Caenorhabditis elegans: one gene and its partners. The protein of the gene in region 2 purifies or fractionates together with the protein of the main gene of each other region. This does not show direct contact. Each region holds a gene or a part of one and is shown on either strand. Other genes may lie near its edges. The genes, in order: tkt-1, C32F10.8, gta-1 and tald-1.

Evidence for each region.
Region 1: the proteins of C32F10.8 (region 2) and tkt-1 fractionate together in Caenorhabditis elegans (co-fractionation; one large-scale study listed by BioGRID). This does not show direct contact.
Region 3: the proteins of C32F10.8 (region 2) and gta-1 fractionate together in Caenorhabditis elegans (co-fractionation; one large-scale study listed by BioGRID). This does not show direct contact.
Region 4: the proteins of C32F10.8 (region 2) and tald-1 fractionate together in Caenorhabditis elegans (co-fractionation; one large-scale study listed by BioGRID). This does not show direct contact.

What each region holds. Positions count from the first base shown.
Region 1 is NC_003282.8:10,241,905-10,246,236, forward strand, and holds tkt-1 (transketolase), read left to right. Parts: upstream 1-1,707; 5' UTR 1,708-1,711; coding exon 1,712-1,832; intron 1,833-1,883; coding exon 1,884-2,557; intron 2,558-2,603; coding exon 2,604-3,378; intron 3,379-3,462; coding exon 3,463-3,749; 3' UTR 3,750-3,803; downstream 3,804-4,332. Other genes in the region: F01G10.10 (BPI2 domain-containing protein), read left to right, coding at 4,258-4,332.
Region 2 is NC_003279.8:5,822,473-5,827,769, reverse strand, and holds C32F10.8 (alanine transaminase), read left to right. Parts: upstream 1-1,621; 5' UTR 1,622-1,690; intron 1,691-1,881; exon of another isoform or gene 1,882-2,050; intron 2,051-2,695; 5' UTR 2,696-2,696; coding exon 2,697-2,777; intron 2,778-2,937; coding exon 2,938-3,711; intron 3,712-3,851; coding exon 3,852-3,928; intron 3,929-3,978; coding exon 3,979-4,470; intron 4,471-4,541; coding exon 4,542-4,632; 3' UTR 4,633-4,788; downstream 4,789-5,297.
Region 3 is NC_003282.8:10,178,893-10,184,449, reverse strand, and holds gta-1 (putative 4-aminobutyrate aminotransferase, mitochondrial), read right to left. Parts: upstream 3,791-5,557; 5' UTR 3,783-3,790; coding exon 3,743-3,782; intron 3,287-3,742; coding exon 3,177-3,286; intron 2,493-3,176; coding exon 2,423-2,492; intron 2,381-2,422; coding exon 2,283-2,380; intron 1,959-2,282; coding exon 1,620-1,958; intron 1,573-1,619; coding exon 910-1,572; intron 825-909; coding exon 693-824; 3' UTR 511-692; downstream 1-510. Other genes in the region: ptrg-1 (Tyrosine-protein phosphatase 4), read left to right, coding at 1-66, 257-390, 441-500; mspn-1 (Mitochondrial sorting homolog), read right to left, coding at 4,509-4,664, 5,466-5,557.
Region 4 is NC_003282.8:4,384,831-4,389,382, reverse strand, and holds tald-1 (Transaldolase), read right to left. Parts: upstream 2,733-4,552; 5' UTR 2,726-2,732; coding exon 2,662-2,725; intron 1,951-2,661; coding exon 1,587-1,950; intron 1,202-1,586; coding exon 828-1,201; intron 776-827; coding exon 618-775; 3' UTR 503-617; downstream 1-502. Other genes in the region: rpl-7A (Large ribosomal subunit protein eL8), read left to right, coding at 39-207; F55F10.1 (Midasin), read right to left, coding at 3,132-3,263.

The DNA of each region.
Region 1 (4,332 bases), on a different chromosome or scaffold from region 2:
CATATGTTGGGGTCAAGGATTAGGTACTTTTCAATTACAAGTGAAGTATTTTTAATAGATTAAAACACCAAATGAACAAATTTCGCGTTTTCTATTTTAAAATTCATCTTCAATCTAGATATTGTAAATGTACATGTAAAACTATTCACATTTTAGGTTTTTTAAAATGGCATTTAGGTTTTAATATTTATGACGATAGCTACAGTAACCCTTGCTTGGCACACTCCCTCATACTTATATTTCACGTGGTGTCAGGTTGTAACGGTTTGATCTCCAAGAAATGCGGGAATTTTTTCCCCAAAAAAATGTGACGTCAGCACGTTCTTAACCATTCAAAATCAGTTGAGAACTCTACGTCTAAACTCCCGCATTTTTTGTAGATCACAACGAAATGGGACATTCTGACACCACGTGATATTTGAGTACTCAAGTTAACAATGAACAATTATTTTATGCTAAGTTTTATGTGGTACTTGTTTAAATTAATGACTGAAAATAGTGAATCATAAAATTGCACTCTATGCTGTAACTTTTTTGGGATTTAAAATTTTTAGGACAAAATATAATAAGTTCGATTTTTGCATCTCTTTTTATTATAACAATTTAATTAAAAATACTAGCATTTTTCTTTCCAGAAATCCCGATTATTCGTTTCTACACATTATCAGAATTTCTAGACCACTTCTAGACCTACAAACTTCGGTAGATCAAATATGGAAGAATTGATCTTGACCCAATTTGCGACAGCGCGTGGTTTCTGATTTCCTTTCTCTGCATATCTCGCCGGAGGCGAGAACGCTCATTCGGGTTCTTTTACTTACTTAACCCCAATTTTTATTTTCTTTATTTTCCGCATTTCTTTAACAGATTTTCGTAACTTTTTTTCTCAATAAATTCCCTATTAAGAGCATATTTTCTTTCCCCACGCACAATAAGTTAGCTCATATTTTAAATACCGATATCGATACTTTCTCGAGATTCCACCTTGGCGCCAAAAAGTTTCAAACGCGGGGCCTAGAAAACACAATGGCCGCGAAAGTTTTCATCATTTTTTTTGTGAGAAATCAGAGAGCGCTCGAGAGCGCCGCTGTTTTAGTCGGTAAACATTCTTTTTTGTGCGCAACGATCGAGAATTGTCACTGTTTTCATATACTGGTATATTTTGTAGTCATTGGATCTCCATTTTAATGAAAATTTCCTTCAGAACATCTGCGTCTCACTAGAAAGTTAGTGTTTCCGTTGTGATGAAACGCGTGTTGGGTTTTTTGGACATTGTCTTTTCATACTTTCAACGCAGAAGAAAGCGGTGTCTTTTTCCACGATTTTATATGTCCAAGAAAAACATTTTTAGGCCTGTCTTTTCAGTTCTTTATTTATTCAAAGTACAGAAACGAAGATGAAAACGTTAACGTTGCGCTGCCCGGTGTTCTTTAGAATGACATTTTTTGCCAACACTTTGCAATTTTTGCCTGAATTTTGAGTTGTTTTCTCGGCCAGTCTCCTGTTTTATGCAGTGGTACCATTAGTAAATAATAGATAAGAAAATGGTGGTGCGTTGAGATGATAATGATACTAGTTGATAACGATAAGGTGTATGTCTCTCCCTGTGTGAAACGGCCGACGATTCACTATTTTCTTCGAGAATGTTCTTTGCCGTTCTTATTCTGAAAATTTTAACATTCTCCCAAAAATCCATTATTTTTGCAGGAGAATGACCGTTTCGGAGCAACTTCGCAATGATTTGGAAGACGCTGCCAACCGCATGCGTATTTCCTCGATCGAGATGACTTGCGCAAGCAAAAGTGGACATCCCACGTCTTCTACGTCTGCTGGTAAGAATTATTCAACATTTACTCGAATCCGATAAATTTCAACATTTTCAGCCGAGATTATGTCAACTCTGTTCTTCTCGGAGATGAAGTACGATGTCGCAGAGCCAAAATCAGCATCTGCCGATCGTTTTGTTCTCTCCAAGGGACACGCTTGCCCAATTCTCTACGCTGCGTGGGAAGAGGCCGGTCTTCTGAGCCATGAGCAAGTGCTCTCTCTCCGCAAAATCGACTCGGACATCGAAGGACACCCCACTCCTCGCTTGAACTTCATCGATGTTGCTACAGGATCTCTCGGACAAGGACTTGGAGTTGCCACTGGCATGGCTTACGTCGGAAAGTACATTGACAAAGCCAGCTACCGCGTCTTCTGCCTTCTCGGAGATGGTGAATCTGCTGAAGGATCTGTCTGGGAAGCTGCTGCTTTTGCTTCAATCTACAAGCTCGACAATCTCGTTGCTATTGTCGATGTCAACAGACTGGGACAAAGTCAAGCCACTTCTCTTGGACATGACGTAGAGACCTACAAAGCTCGCTTTGCCGCTTTCGGATTCAATGCCATTATTGTCAACGGACACAATGTTGATGAGCTCTTGGCCGCATATGAGACTGCTCGTTCCACCAAGGGAAAGCCAACCGCCATCATCGCCAAGACTTTGAAGGGAAAAGGAATCGAAGGAATTGAAAACGAGGACAATTGGCATGGAAAGCCAGTCCCAGAGGGAACAGTAAGTTTGACGTGAGAATGAAATAGTCTCATATTAAAAATTTCAGGTCAATGCCATCAAGGCTAGATTCCACGGAAGCCAAAAGGGAAAGCTCGTTGCTCAAAAGCCAATCAATGACGCCCCTGCTATTGATCTCCATGTTGGATCCATCAAAATGGCTGCCCCAGAATACAAGAAGGGAGACAAGGTCGCCACAAGAGCCGCTTACGGAACTGCACTTGCTAAGCTTGGAGATGCTAGTCCACGTGTCATTGGTCTTGATGGAGATACCAAGAACTCTACTTTCTCTGACAAACTTCTTAAGAAGCACCCAGATCAATTCATTGAGTGCTTCATTGCCGAACAGAATCTTGTCGGTGTAGCTGTGGGAGCGCAATGCCGTGACCGCACAATTCCATTCACCAGCACATTCGCTGCATTCTTCACCCGAGCCACTGATCAGATCCGTATGGCCGCTGTTTCATTTGCTAATCTCAAATGCGTTGGATCTCACGTCGGAGTCTCAATTGGAGAAGATGGACCAAGTCAAATGGCTCTCGAAGATCTTGCAATTTTCCGTACTATCCCAGGAGCAACTGTTTTCTACCCAACCGACGCCGTGTCTGCTGAAAGAGCAACAGAGTTGGCTGCCAACACAAAAGGAGTTGTTTTCATTCGTACCGGCCGCCCCGCACTTCCAGTTCTCTACGACAATGAAGAGCCATTCCACATTGGACAAGCCAAGGTTGTGAAGCAGTCAGCCCAAGATAAAATTGTTCTTGTCGGATCGGGAGTCACTTTGTACGAGTCATTGAAGGCCGCTGAGGAGTTGGAGAAAGAAGGTTTGTTTTTTTTGTTACGTTTTACTTTTTAAAGTTTTATTTTCAAAAAGAAACTGTATTTGAAACTAAAAATTATGTTTTCAGGAATTCACGCCACTGTTATCGATCCATTCACCATCAAGCCACTGGATGGAAAGACCATCGCCGAGCACGCTCTGAAAGTTGGAGGACGAGTTGTTACTACCGAAGACCACTACGCAGCTGGAGGAATAGGAGAAGCTGTTTCCGCTGCTCTCGCTGATTATCCAACGATTCGTGTCAGATCATTGAATGTCAAGGAAGTTCCACGCTCCGGACCACCAGATGCTCTCGTGGACATGTACGGAATCTCTGCTCGTCACATCGTTGCCGCCGTCAAGAACTTCCAATAATGTATTTTTAATGCCTCGTATTATAGTATTATATAGCTTTCCTTTATGTTTACTTGAAATGGTTGTGAATTTACAGCAAAATGAAACAATTTAAAAAAAGGTGCATCGCAGTTTGTATAAGCTTCTCGCACGCGTCTAGACAATAAGAAGGCCGTTTCGCGGGCATTGGATGTTTTGTGGCGAGGCGATGACGGGGATCGAAACCTGTTCGGTACCCGAATTGATACACTTCTCATCTACATCTTCTTGTCGTTTCTGAGAATAAGCGATACAGAAGATGAACACTCACGGCTTCTTAGTCTTTTTCCTCTTTCCGCTCCTCACTTTTTCATTTTCCTTTCAATTTCATGATTTCTCTTTTTAGGAACTGATCAATATTTCTGATATGAGGATTTCTCTTTTTTAGACGGTTCTTTCAAATAAAGACCAAAGTTTTCAATTTTTATATTTATATAACGTTACTAGCAGTATGCAAACATGAAATGAGTTTTTATTTATTTTTCCAGTTATGAGAGTTCTACTATTATTTGGATTCTGTGTACCATGGCTTTCATCGGGACAAGAAATCACTCGGGATTATTCT
Region 2 (5,297 bases):
TTTTGTTTTTCTTTTCATCTTTGGTAAAATTGTTATAAAATGGATTTTAAATAATTAATTATATTCAATGAAAAATTATATTCAATGAAAAAGCAGTAAAACATCGTGTCACATACGACGTAGATTAGGAAAAATAACGGGAAATGGCGGGATAAAGCTTCAAATGCCGATCCCCTTGGGATTAATCTGAAAATCTCTGTTCTTTTTCTTGTTCTTCTCTTCTCATGGTAAACTTTAATATAATTGAAAGGTTTTATGCTGCTAAATAACGGCAAAAGACTGAAAAATGAGAGCACGATGGAGACAATTTTAAAAGAGAGAAACGGCGGAGTTGTTTCGGGAAATTTGATGGAATATGTTGTTTGATCGAAAAAGAAAAGCGCTCGCTGCTCAAGCTGTCTGAATTTATGAGCACGCACCTTTTTTGGAATTCATTTTTATTGAATATAAACTGAAAAGTCGGTTAGGAAACATCTAGAAAATATCATCTGTAGAAAAGATGATTTTATATTGAAGAGCAAAAAAGTGACACAGAGGCGTTGCGAAAACAAAATATAAATAAATGTGCACTCGTGACTCGGTTTCCCTTTTCTGGGCAGAAAATTGGGTGGAAAGAACTTTGTGATATGAGAATTGGTCTTTAATTTATGATCAGTGGGGGTTTATTTTTCTGATGTTCCTCCGTAATATTACTCAAGGCTAATACTAAATGTTAGGAAACGTTTCAAGAAAATCTTTGTCTTGTAATCTACCACACCAACGAAGCTTTTCTCGTTTTCCTGTATATTTTTTGTTGACGCTGAAGATGGTTTTTAATTATTTGTTTTATTTCTAAAAGTTCGACATCATTTCTTCAACGAATTTTTTTCGAATTTCTACAATCGTTATCTAATTTGATCGAAATTTGACTTTTAATCTCCAACGGAATTGTGTTCAATGGACCGTTTCTTCAATGCCACGTGACTTTGAACTGTCAATCCTTATTTTCCTAGATCACAATAGACCTCCATCATCATTTTTCTCTCGAAAACCAAAAAAACCAGTTTCAAAAATCGAGCCATTGGCACGTAGTCCTCTGTCGGTTTATTTCGTTCCTCCCAATATTTCTCTCCCTCTCTTCAGTCTCTCTTGTTGTTTTTCAGTCCCTTCCTCCATCTCGGGGCCCCTTTCTTTCTCGTTCTTCAGCATTACATCGTAAAGAATAAACAAGGTGCCTCATCTGAAGAACAAGACCTGCCTTTTTTCGTTTTTTAAATTGATTGAAACTTCAAAGCGGCCATGATTCTTGGTTTCTTTTTATATTGCCAAAAAATAATGTTTATCCTTTTTTGTTTATAAAAAAGCTAAATATTGAGGTTTTTCCAAATTTCTGAATAACTTAATTTGTACTTCTTTTTACAAACATATTTAACTCGCATCTATTGATTATTTTTCTAAACATTTTAGCCATTTTTAAAATATTTTCAAGCTCTACTAATTGTTCTCTAAATTATTCTCTTTCACAAAAAAAGTTTTGTGTTTTTTGTGATCTTTGTTTCCAGCACATTTTTCTATTTTTAATCTTCTTTTTTTGCCCAATCAATGTGTGAAATTGTCGATAAGAGACAATAATTTGTTTCAGCAGCTTGTGCGAAAAACTTCATCGATCGCCTGTTCTCTCTTCCACTCTCAACACTTCGCTTTTTTATTGGTAAGTTCTAGAAAATTGAACTCGTGAAGTATTGGATGCTGAGAAAGTATTTTGGACTGTTTGGACAACATAAAATAGATGTTTAGATTTTCCTATTTAAAGTCGGGATTTTCCAAAAAAAAAACGTCTGCGAAAAAACTTCTACATAAGTTGGTTAGGCTCTCTGTAGAAAGTGGATAAGATGAAGGAATTAGAAAACTTAATTTCGTTAAATTGTTATATTTGTGATTATCTCGAATTTTGATTCTTTCAAACTTCTGTTTTAAATTTGCTCTACCGAAAATTATTACCAATTTTCGGATTTTTCGTTGTTTAACAATTCTTAATAACGCCTATTTTGCTAAACGCTGGAACACGTGTGAGACGGAAAATCAAGACAAGAACAATGAAAAAATGAGATAGAAAACAGATAGAACCGAGAGAAAAACAGAAAAGAATTAGATGCACTTGGCATTTGTTTGCCCCTTTTCCCCGCCTTCCGACTATGAAAAGCTTTTTTTCTACCAGTTAATCTCTTTGATATCAAGATTTCTACTTATTTATTGGAAACTAAATGTAATTTTTGTACGTAAATCCGGTGTCACATTTTTTTAAGTTTAAAATTTTGTGCTGCGGGATAGAGTTTGAAAAAAACGGAGAAAAGGGAAAATGTTATTATAATATATTACAATACGGCTTTTTTTTAAATGTTCACCTATATTTACTGTTTTCTGAAACTGTATTTTCTGCATTGTTTGCTCATTAAGTTCAAACTATCAACTTATTGCTTTTTGCGCGCACTCAGCTCGTCCTCAACCAACAAACACACGCGGCCTAAAGTTAGGTTCGTGCAAACGGTAGAACATTCTGAGTACTTACTGTCTCTCTCACTCGTGGACGTTATCAATCACACCCAGTTATCACTGTCTATCCTTCTATCCTCATATACATTTCTTTTAAATTAGTTGCAATTGAAATGATATCTTTTCAATTCACTTGTTATATCTCGATCTTTTAATTTTACAGCATGCGAACCGTACAAGCAATTTCCGGACTCGTCACAAGTCGCTTTTTCGGCACATCCACTAGAATCATGGCTAGCGGAAAGGTGAGCATTTATTAATTTGCAAAATGTGTCAGGAATCAGATGGACACTGAATAGCAAAATTTCAGAAATGTTAAAAGTTGTTACAATATTGGCAATTTTAATCGTTTTCGAAATAGTTGTGTATTTTTTGAACAAAGTATTTTTAAAAATTCAATTTCAGACTTTGAACACCTCCAACATCAATCCAAATGTTATCAAGATGGAGTATGCTGTTCGTGGACCAATCGTGATCCGTGCCGTGGAGCTTGAAAAAGAGCTTGCGACCGGTGCTCAGAAGCCATTCCCAAATGTCATCAAGGCTAATATTGGAGATGCTCATGCTATGGGTCAAAAGCCGATTACTTTCATTCGCCAGCTCCTCGCGTGTATTGTCAACCCAGAGATCATGAAAACGGACAAATCAATTCCATCTGATGTTATCGAACATGCAAATGCATTCCTTGGAAGTTGTGGAGGAAAATCCGCTGGAGCATACAGTCAGAGTACGGGAGTGGAAATTGTACGAAAACACGTGGCAGAGTATATTAAGAGACGTGATGGAGGAATTCCATGCAATTCAGAAGATGTCTGCTTGTCTGGAGGAGCTTCTGAATCAATCCGAAATGTTCTCAAACTTTTTATCAATCATAACAACGCAAAGAAAGTCGGAGTCATGATTCCAATTCCACAATATCCACTCTATTCTGCCACTATCGAAGAATTCGGACTTGGACAAGTTGGATACTATTTGAGTGAATCGTCTAATTGGTCCATGGATGAAGCTGAACTTGAAAGATCTTTCAATGATCACTGCAAAGAATACGATATTCGAGTTTTGTGTATCATCAATCCAGGAAATCCTACCGGACAAGCACTTTCTCGTGAAAATATTGAGACTATCATCAAGTTTGCACAAAAGAAGAACCTGTTCCTTATGGCTGATGAGGTTTATCAAGTAAGTTTTCGATAAAAATTTACACTCGATAATTTTCCACTATTTTCAATTAAAATTATTTTAAATCATAAACCATATTTTTTAATGAGGAAAATCACACTTTTCTATTAAAATAATGAGATTTAAAATATCATCTTCAGGACAACGTCTACGCTCAAGGATCGCAATTCCATTCATTCAAGAAGGTTCTTGTGGAGATGGGAGAGCCATACAATAAGTGAGCTTTTTTTCCTAAGCAGTTAAAAAACTCATAATATTAATTTGCAGAATGGAATTGGCTTCTTTCCATTCGGTATCCAAAGGATACATGGGAGAATGCGGAATGCGTGGAGGATATGTTGAATTCTTGAATCTCGACCCAGAAGTGTATGTCCTTTTCAAAAAAATGATCTCTGCCAAATTGTGCTCCACAGTACTCGGACAAGCCGTCATTGATGCCGTTGTGAATCCACCAAAGGAAGGAGATGCATCGTATGCTCTGTGGAAACAAGAAAAGGATGCAGTACTTGCTTCTCTTAAGGAACGTGCTACACTCGTCGAGAAGGCATACAGTAGCATTGATGGAATCAGCTGTAATCCAGTTCAAGGAGCCATGTACGCTTTCCCGCAAATCACGATTCCACAGAGAGCTGTTGAAAAAGCTCAGTCTTTGAACCAACAACCTGATTTCTTCTATGCTATGCAACTTCTTGAGACCACCGGAATCTGTATCGTGCCAGGAAGTGGATTTGGACAAAAAGACGGAACTTATCATTTCAGGTTTGTGATACTCTAATTCACATTTAATACAATAAATCTAGATTCATTGTTGGTAAATTCAATTTTTTCAGAACGACAATTCTTCCACAGCCAGAACTCTTCAAAGACATGCTCTCCCGGTTCACTGATTTCCACCAAAAATTCCTTGCCGAATACAAGTAGACTTTGAACAATGTCTAATATTCTTCTTTTCTCAATTTTCTCAGCTTTTTTTCTTCTATGTCACTTTTTGTTTCATAGCCAATATGATAGGGTCTAAATGCGTTTACTGTGTAGATTCGATTAATTTTAATTATTGCATTGATGAATTTTAACATTCTTTTTTTTGTAGAAGACTATACTGCCACTTTCACCTGACAAACAATAGGACCTCAGACAGTTTCTGGCACACTCTTATTGATGGATTCCCAAAATACAAGGTCTTTGTCCAGAACCGCCGTTCAACACAATGTGCATTCCACTCGATCCAATTGAGCAGATTCTAATTCACCTAAACGGAGGCCCAATCTGTGACAGTTTATGACCAAATATTCTGTTGCACAAACGTTACATAATCAGGTCAATCTGCCTGCACACACACAATGTTGCCGACTGACGTAACACAGAATGATAGTTTATTGGAGGAAAACAAATGGGCTCTCGAGATAACTGGAGTAGATTACGCAGTTTTGAAATATCGCAGTATTCTTCACTGTCTATCTAAAATCTTATAAAACCAAAAATTACCTCCAAATGGGTTTCTTGGAAAACTACATGGTTCGGAAAATTCGGAATTGTTTGGTATTTTCAATTTATTTTTGAAATTTTCATACACTATTTCCAATTCT
Region 3 (5,557 bases), on a different chromosome or scaffold from region 2:
ACCCACCAAGTGTTCCATCACCAACAGATAGTACTTCTACATTATCACTTTCTATTTTGTTTAATGGTGAGTATAGCTTGATATCTATCAATATTTTTGGTTCAAAAAAATTTTGTAACACAAATTTGGAGTTTATAAAAACCCCTTTGGTTCTAGTTTAAAAATGGTAGTGTGCGTAGAAACGTACATACTATGATCTGTAAATACTTTAAACTTTAATTATATTATATTTATAACAAAATTGATGAATATTCAGATGATACAGCACTTGCATTCAGTATTTGTGCAGCCACAACTTTAGCGTGTCAACTGGAGACAACGGGTTGTGTTGACGTGGTACAGGTTCTTTCATCGTATACCGAAATTCAGTGTGGTATTTTTGCCTCGAAGGTGAAAATCGAATTATCTCATTTTCCAATACCAAATTATTTTGTTTTCAGCAAGAAATCGAGATAATCTATGAAAAGATGTCACAGCTAGTCGGAGGAACACGTGTCTAAAAATTTATAAATTCAATTGGAATCGATCCGAAGTATAACTTCCCGAGAAGAAACAATAAAAAATCAATTTCCGGTGTCATTATAAATGAATATTTAATTTATTAATTATATTTTGAAATAATAACAAGCTAGATGGTCAGCGAAGCAAATAAAATGGATACAGCTTTAAAGAGAAAACAAAAGAAAAAATGATTACAATCCCTTCAAAGTCTTGTCGAGAAGATCGAAAGTCAGATCCAAATGTTTTTTGGTGTAGACGAGTGATGGACGGAAACGAAGTGAACGGTCTCCACATCCTCCACAGTGAAGTCCGTTGCTGATGGCCTAAAATTAAATTGAAGTTTAAGAAATTTAATATATAAATGTAAGATGGCTGAATTTGACATTTATCACTATTAATTCTGCTTACCAAGTCAACAAATTTGTCTCTCAAAGATCCAGATGGGAAGTCAACGGCGGCAAAAGTTCCTCTTCCTCTGGCTTGATCCAACTTTCCTCCAGACGATGCTTGAAGTTCTCCAAGTCTCTTTTGGAATTCAGCTCCAACTTCTCTGCTCTGCTCAATCAATCCATCTCTCTTAATAACCTCAACAGCCTTTTCCAAAAGAAGAAGCTTGGTCGGATCTCCCATCCATGTGTTGTAAATACGGTAAGCCTCCTTAACTCGGAGATGTTCTCCGTAGAAGTATCCTCCTGTCAAAAGTTTCTTTGAGAATGTGACCATATCTGGTGGAGAGCTCAAGTTCCAGTGATCATGAGCCCAGATATCTCCAGTTGCTCCACCTCCAGTTTGAACTTCATCAACAATGAATACAATTCCATGTTTAGAAGTAATATCACGGAGGCCTTGGAAGAATGCTGGACTTCCATAATGATCTCCACCTTCTGCTTGAATTGGTTCAACAATAATTGCAGCTACATCATTATCACGACGTTTCCATTCGGAAATCTTCGCTTCAACGTCAGCAAGACACTCCTGATCTTGCTTCTTATTGTATGCAACATTCTGGTCAAGTGGATACTTATAACGGGGGAACTTGGCAATTGGCCAGTCAAATGCTGGAATATCAACCTGAAAATAATTAATTAGAATTGTTTCGAAATAAAACTTTGAAATACCTTATGAATTGGCTTACTTCTGGTAACCGACAACATGCACAAAGATCTTCCATGGAAAGCTCCTTCAAATCCCATAACTGAAAGATTTGGAGTTCCTGGTTTCTGTTGATTCATGCAGCTTTCCAAATGAAGAGCATCTGGTCCAAGACCTCCTCTTCTCTGAGCTTGATACCAGATAAATGCAGTTTTGATTGCATTCTCGTTGGCCGATGTACCGCAAAGCATTGTTTGAACTGCCTTCAATCCTTTTGGAGCAATTGATGTAAGAGCATGAGAAATTCCATCAGCAAAGTCGGTACGTGGGAAGGATCCAAGAGCTGGACGAGAAACAAGAGATGTCTGAAAATTTATTTTCTAATACATTTCTCAACTTTTCAGTAAGTATCTTGTTTTCTTTAGTTTTATCCAAATATTACAGACAGGCAAATCACTTAATATTTAATTTTTTACTGGTTTCTAGGTGTACGGTTAATGTGAAAATATGGTCATTATGTGCCTTCCTCCTGCCTGCCTGACTGCCTACCGCCTAATTTCTGTATTTGTGCCTGAATGCGGATGCGGCGTAAAACATTTTCATGCGTACATGGAAGGCTAAGTTCGAATGCTCCAATTGATTGTAAGAGGTTCAAAAATTGATTTTGAAATCAATTTATAAAAACTCACAATCAAATGTGGCTGCGAAGCGACCTTAACCAAATCTGGATGATTGTATCCCAAAGGAAGAGATGATATTTGAGTATAGACATCGAGAAGTGCATTTCCTAAATTAAATCCTGGTGTGTAAACTGAAAATAAAAACTAACCATCAGCATCTACAACGTAATTTCCGAATGATTTCTCGTAGTCGACATGGAAACGAACGGATGTAGTTTGCTGAAAAAAAATTTTTTTAATTTTTATAAAATTTTGAAATCTCATATTGCATTTGGAATGATTCATATGTTTCATAACTACAGTATTTTTGACAATATGTATAAAATTTAAATTTCCTTGAAATATTATTTTATTTTTTGTATTATCAATGAAATTGAAGATTTGAAATTAAAAAAACTAAAATCAAATAATCAAAACTCCTGAATGTCAGTTGTCAGTTGACCAGAGAAAGTGTAATATTTCTGAGACGAATTTCATTCGTTCTGTGATAAGGGTAAGAATGTGATGTTCATGTAATTACGGAGTTGAGATGTTGGTTTTTGATTTGAAAATTGAACTGAATGGCTCGAAATTCTTCGCAATTGTGTGACCATTAAATAGCTAATAATGTTTTGTAATCTAAAATTATAATTTATCTATCTTATAATTCTTAATAATTTAGAATCAAATTGACAATGTTGAGCTTCTGTTGAGCAAGTTGTCAGAAAGTTCAGCCAAAGTTTTTGTTTGAAAAGTAATTTCAAGCGATTTCGCCACTGAATAATTGTCAAAAACTAAAACCAATACATAATGAGCGTATAAGATTTAGAATAGATATAAAAAATAAGTTATCACAATTTGAAGGTATTTTAAGGTCCATGATGTTTAAAAAAACCATTTAACTTTCGATATCTCAATTCTTACATGAACTTTATCCATTTCCTGTTTCAACGCCTTTGACTTTGGTCCAGGAATGCTCGTTGAAATACTAGGTCCAGATGGCTCGGCATTTGCAATCGCCGAAACTCCACGCACTAAAATAAACGTTTCAATTGAGTCAGAGCATTTTTTGGAAACATTCTCATGGTGTTGAAGTGTTTTAGTATTTTTTTAAAATTTCAGAAAATTTTGTTTTTTTAATCTTCCAAATTGAAACATGTGGTGAATATCAAAATACCTGCCAATTTACCAAAACTTCGATTTTATCGTTCAGTTTTTCTGATCTTTTCCCTATTCGGTTTTACTCGAGAAAAATCAATTGCCTTCGTTAATGTTTGTGATACTGATAAACTGATAAGAGAATCAAAAAAGTGTTGTTTGTTTCTTTTTCAATGTGTTTTAGGTCAAAGATGCAAGTAAAAAGGGTTGAAAATGAATGTATCTAGAAGAACTAAAAAGCTGCAGGTTAGGTTTTTCAAAATCAAAAATTATATGTTAAATTATTTCCTAAATAAATCCCAGTTGAATCCAAAATATATTAATTGGTTTACCCTGTTGGATTAAAGATGACTTTGCCAGTCTGGGAAGCATTCTTCCTTCTGAAAAAAACTATTCAAATTATTCGAAAATCGATTTGAAAAAAACAAAGAGAAAGAAGAGTAAAATTTGAAGTGGCAGGAGAAAACCGAATAATTTTTTCTCCCGTTTTCTCTTTTTAGGCGTCAAACGAGACGCAGAGAAAGGCAGGGGGAGGAGCTTATGTTTTTTAGTGAAGGAAATAAATGCGTTTTCTAGTGAAAATTGTTTGAAGAAGTAAACTGAAAAATTGGAAGCCAATGGAAGACGTTTATATTGAGCCTGTGAATGGTGTAAACTTGCTCCACGTTGTGCAAAGAAAAAGGCTCGCAGAGCACGAAGGGTGTAATCGGAAGGACAACTGACACAAAGAGATGGGGTCACGTGATCGATTTATTGTTTCTTCAGATTCTGGAGATATCGACAAGTGAAAGAAAAGAGAAAAAGAGAATACAATCTAACCGGTAATCTAAACGTACTTATTAAATCAATGCAATACATAAGAATAGGGAAGTAAAAAATCAGGAATCAGAAATATTAGTTTTTGAATCTGTTCTAGAAGCTCCGGGGAATAAAAAAAAAGATTTTCGATTTTAAGTCAAAGCACCGTTACATTTCTTTAGCTTTATACTACAAAAAGGTATAATAAATTGAGACCTACAAGAACGAATGGACTACTTTTAGAGAAAAAGAAATAGAAGTTTACATGAAATAAAACATTCGTTTCTTGAACTTTTAAGACTAATCAAGTGTTTCTTCAACAAGTAAATGTGCGGCTCTCATATATTTATGCACTGCTGACTCAAAATCGGACTGTTCCAATGGAAGAAGTTGATTTACGGAACCTCCAGAAGCTACAGTAGCTTTTGCTCGAGCGAGAAGAGCAAGACGACAAACCTGAAAAATTACATAACAACACGATTATTGGCGTTTCATTTTCCTGTAACATAAAAACTTAAAATTTTCGAACGCGTATTATTTTTTAAGCTAATTATTGTGTATCTAACTTCTAAATATTTTTAGATGATTTTGGAAGAAGTTGAAATAATTTAAATGAGTTTTTTTAAAATTAAATTCAAAATTGTAAGTTTTTTCAAGCTCACTATTAGAACAACTTGTATTAAATATATACAATTCTCTTCACTAATGTTTTTATTTGTATTTTTTTTTCCTTTAAGGTTACTGTAGACAATTATATTACATTTTATCATATTACAAATTACATTTTTCCTTTAAAATCCAATGCATTTTTCACATTAGAAACATGAATTAATTGTGAAACAGCAATTTATTCTCATGAAGCTCGCAAAACTTTGCGATTTCTGCCCCAAATATTCTCGACACGAAATTTTATGTTAACTATGAAAAGGTGTGTACCTTTAAAGAGTACTGTAATTTCAAACTCTCGTTGTTGCAAAAGTTTAATCGAGTTTTCGTAGTTTTCAATAAAAACACATATACTTATTTGCTGTTTCACTATTAATTCATGTTAAAAATGTATTGGATTTTATAGGAAATCCAAGATATATTATTGTCTACAATTTTTCATGTTGAACAGATTTATATTAAATATTTCGTTACCGAATTCCACTAGAATATATGTGACATATATAGCCACAAAGCGAACTAATAATATTACGACCATTTCGGGGATGTAATATATTTGATTAAAATTTTAAAAAGAAAAAAAGCACGAACCTCTTTCAAATCACTTCCACTAAGACCTTCTGCTGCCTGTGCGATTTCTCCGAGATTTACAGTATTATTGATCTTTTCATTCCTGAGAATCA
Region 4 (4,552 bases), on a different chromosome or scaffold from region 2:
ATAGTTTCTTGAGCAAATAATTATTTCTTTGTATTCAGAGAGGACAAATCTGCCTTGAACAAGCTCGTCGAGACCGTCAACAACAACTTCAGCGAGCGTCACGAGGAGATCCGCAAGCACTGGGGAGGAGGTGTCATGTCCGCCAAGTCTGATGCCAAGAAGCTCAAGATCGAGCGCGCTCGTGCCCGTGATCTTGGAAAGCTCTAAATTGTTTTTGTTGATAATAAAAACTTGTTATTCAAAGCTTGTATCTTTTTCAATAATTGGTAGTCTTCGTGGTACTCATTTGGATCGGTCTTGTTGGATATTGTTGAGAACAGTTTTCCCGAGAAGTGTCTCCCTAGTTCGTCGTTGTCTTGGAGCTTGCTGGTTGTCTGCGATATGGTTTCACTGAACAATTCTAGTTGGGTTCAATTCCGGGTGTCACAGCCACAACTGTCCAGAAACTTGCAGAGTGCGATAAGAGTTCGGCTATTTTGTGTATCTTGCCTTTACAGTGCTCTTTAAATTACATAAGGGTTCATTAAAATACGTAACGAAATATTTAAGGGGAAATCACAACACTGATGAAATTGGGGAAAACTAGTAAGCACGACAAATACATCAATCAATACAATTTAGATCTTTGCCTCGATAAGCTTCTCCAGAGTTCTGGCGTCTTTGGCAAAGTTGCGGATTCCTTCGGCGAGCTTCTCGGTGGCCATGGCGTCCTCGTTGAGAGCCCATCTGAACGCCTTCTCGTCAATGCTCACTTTCGGCAGGTCGAGTGTCTTGGCTGGAAAATAATTAAAAATTGCAATTTTTAATTGATTAAATCTCCCGCTCACCATGAGAAGTGGAGAGCACAACTGGAGCAAGTTCCGTCTCCGCAGCAAGTTGCTTCAGAAGAGCCGGAGAAATAGTAAGAAGATCACATCCAACAAGTCCCTTGATCTCTTCAGTATTACGGAACGAGGCAGCCATCACTTGTGTCTTATAGTCGTATTTCTTGTAATAATTAAAGATTCGAGTAACACTGACAACTCCTGGATCGTCTTTTCGAGTGTAGGCCTTCTGATCGGTATTCTTCACGAACCAATCCATGATTCTTCCGACGAATGGCGAGATTAGGGTGACTCCTGACTCGGCACACGCGACTGCTTGCTCAAAGTTGAAGAGCAGTGTCATGTTGCAGTGGATTCCGTGCTTAGATTCGAGGAATCTGAAAATTTAATTTTTTGCTGATTTTGAACTATTTCCGTTATAATTAATGCCTTAAACTCTTTTGAAAAATGTCAATTTGGGTCCAATTGAGTAGATTTTCAGTAGAAAACTAATAGAAACGAGACTTTGTATGTTTCGAAAAGGTATGTCCGTAGATTTTAGGTGATTTACAAGAAAAATCGAAGCATTTCTAGTTTTTAATTTAAAATGTGTTAATTTTTAACAATTTCATCTTGTATAATTCGTTTTTTAATTGATTTTTTCGAAACTAGTAGTGTTTTAAACCAAGCAAATCATCAAAAATGGGTAAAATTTCATCAAGTTTGATTTTTAAAAAAAAGTTTTTTAACTGAAAAGTTTTCCTAAAATCTCCAATGCCGTACTTAGCAGCCCGAATTCCTTCCCAAGTTGAAGCAAGTTTGATAAGAATCCGATCCTTCGAGATTCCTTCCTTCTCGTATTGAGCAATAAGTCCAAGAGCCCGATCAATCGATGCTTGAGTATCAAATGAAAGACGAGCATCAACTTCTGTGGAAACTCTTCCTGGAATAGTTTTCAGGATTTCTTTTCCAAAAACTACAAAAAGTCGATCCATAGCCGCTTGGAGCACTTCTTGATGTCCACTGGCGTGCTCTTTTGCGTAGGCAACTGATTGATCGATTAATGCTGCGTATTGCTCCATTTTTGAGGCGGCCAGGATGAGCGATGGGTTGGTAGTTGCATCTGTTGGCTGGAATTCCTTGATCGCTGAAAAAAATCGATTTTTTGAGAACAATTTTTGAAAAAAGTACTTTTTTCAACTGGAAAATTCGAGTTTTATTTTTCGATTTTTGACTTTTTACACAAAATCGAGGAAAAAAACAAAGGTGTGCGCCTTTAAGACTTACAGTAACCCATTTCCTGATTTTTTAAATTAATTTTTCACGCTTTTCATCTAAATTCTTGAGAGAAAACGTTGAAAAATGAAAAAAAAAACGAAATTGAAGGAACGTCTGGGTACTGTACTTTTGAAAGGCGCAAACACATTTTTTTCAAAATAAATATTTTTCACCAGTATTTACAAAAATTTAGAAAAAAGAGAATTCATCGAATTATCCAAAAAAAGTTTTTCACAGCTTTTTTTGGAATTTTTGAAAAATTCTAATTTTTAAATGGCACATTCCAGAAATTTACAATACTTCCATAAAATTTAATAGTATTTATTTTTAAAATGTTTTAACGAATTTTTTGGAAACTTCTTGAAAATATGTATTTTTTTCTCTAAAAAAATTAATTTAAAAAGTTCAAAAAGTCAGATTTCTATCTGAAAATCGAGAAATTTACTGTTTTTTACATTATAACAGTGGTCTTCCTAGAAAAATCGAATTTTCAGATAATTTAATTTTTTTTCAAAACTGCCAAAAAAAATCAATTATTCACCACATTTTCGAACTTTTTCTTAATGTTCAAAATTTTTACCATTAAAATCTCCAGTATCCGCAACAACGACTGATGCTCCTTTGAGTTGTTCCAAAACCGACATGATTTCCCTAGAAAAAGTCAAAAAAAAATCAATAATCGTGAAAATTACGGGAAAAATCGCGTGAGAGAGATCGAATGGAAAGTGCAGCCCATTGATAGCATCAAAGATAACAAAAACCGTATCAAAAAAATTTCAAATTTTTAATAGATATAATGATAATGATAATTCGACTAACCAATGTGAAAACAATGAACAATGAACAAAAAATAACAAAAAAGGGGGAAAATTTCAAAAAAAAAGTAACAACTCATAAAAAAATGACGATAAAAGGAGTAGGGAAGTGAGAAAAACAGTTTTCGAAAAAAAGTAACAAAAATGATGATAAAAAGGTATAAAGTAAAGTAGTAACAAAAAAACAAGAATATGACTAAATGTGTGTAGTTTGCAGTCTGTAGTTTGTAGCCTCTCAACTATGATGTGTCGTCGTCATTTCGAACCATTGACGAATCGATTCGGCAATCACCGATGGTAGTTGTTGAACTGATTTGACGAGAGCGTAGAATGGGAACGGGAACAGGGCGAGGTATGGCGTGAGTACCTGCAGGAAAAATTGGAAATTGTCAGCAGTTTTATGGGGGCAAATGGCAAGAGAATCGGGGGGTTTTCGAGAAAAAAAAGAAAGTAAATATTGTTCTTTGTAGTCAAATATGATCAAATTTCACACATTTTTTTGGGAATTTTAACACGAAAAAAAGGAAAAATCTTCAAAAATTGGAAAATTTATTGAGTTTTGAAATTTATTTGCGAAATTCCTTTCGAATATTTTGACCTAGTTTCAATTTTTTGTTTCATTTTTTAAATATTATTTTAAACACAATTTCTCACATTTTCAGACAGTTTTCCGCAAAAAATTATTTAAAAATGTGAAATTATCGATTTTTAGGTCAAAATTGAAGCGAAAATCGTCAAAATGCCAAAAAAGTCTACTGAAATTTAAATTTCAGACCTAAAAATATACAAATAATCGGCCATAGAAGACTGAAATAACGAAAAAAAAACTTTTGTAATTTTAAAAGCAAATTTTTGCTGAAAATCCTATAATTACCGTAACCTCGGCGTTTGTTCAATATCGAGAATGGAAAATTACCAGTTTTTAAAAAATTAAAATTAAAAAAAACGTTTTTTGTAGTCAAATATGATCAAATTTCACACATTTTTTGGGTATTTTAAATGAGCGGCAATTCTAGAAAATGGTCTGTTGCACCATGTTGTTCCAACATTTTTACAACTTGAAATTAGTTTAAAAATATGAAAAATCACTCGATTTATTTGAAAATAACATTAATTTCAGCTGAAGCCTTCGAGAAAATGCCCAGAAATGGCTTGAAAGTTGACTAATTTCGGCAATTGTCAACTTTCTGGCCTTTTTTGAGCAATTTCTCAAATTTTCAGTCGAATAAATGTCATTTTCAGATAAATCAACTAATTTTCTATACTTTGACACTAATTTTGGAGGAAAATGTTGAAAATGCATGGTGCTACGTCACCTCGAAAACAATTTTTTTTTCAGAGTGTAACTTCAAATAAAATGGAAAATGTATATTTTTTTAATTGGATTTTTCTTTAAAAAATACCCATAATAATCTAAAACTGGGATATTTTTGAAAAAAAACATATTTCCAGTCAAAAATAGCAGATTTCAACTGAAATCGTCTGATTTTGAAATTTTAAACATGCCAATTACAAGTTTTGGGTGAAAATGTTGATTTTTTAAACCAAAATTGGCAAATTTTCACTAAATTGCCCCGATTTCTAGCTAAAAAAATCCTGGAATGTTGAAAATGTGATTTTTTGAATGAAAATTTGCGAAATTCTATCTGAATCAAT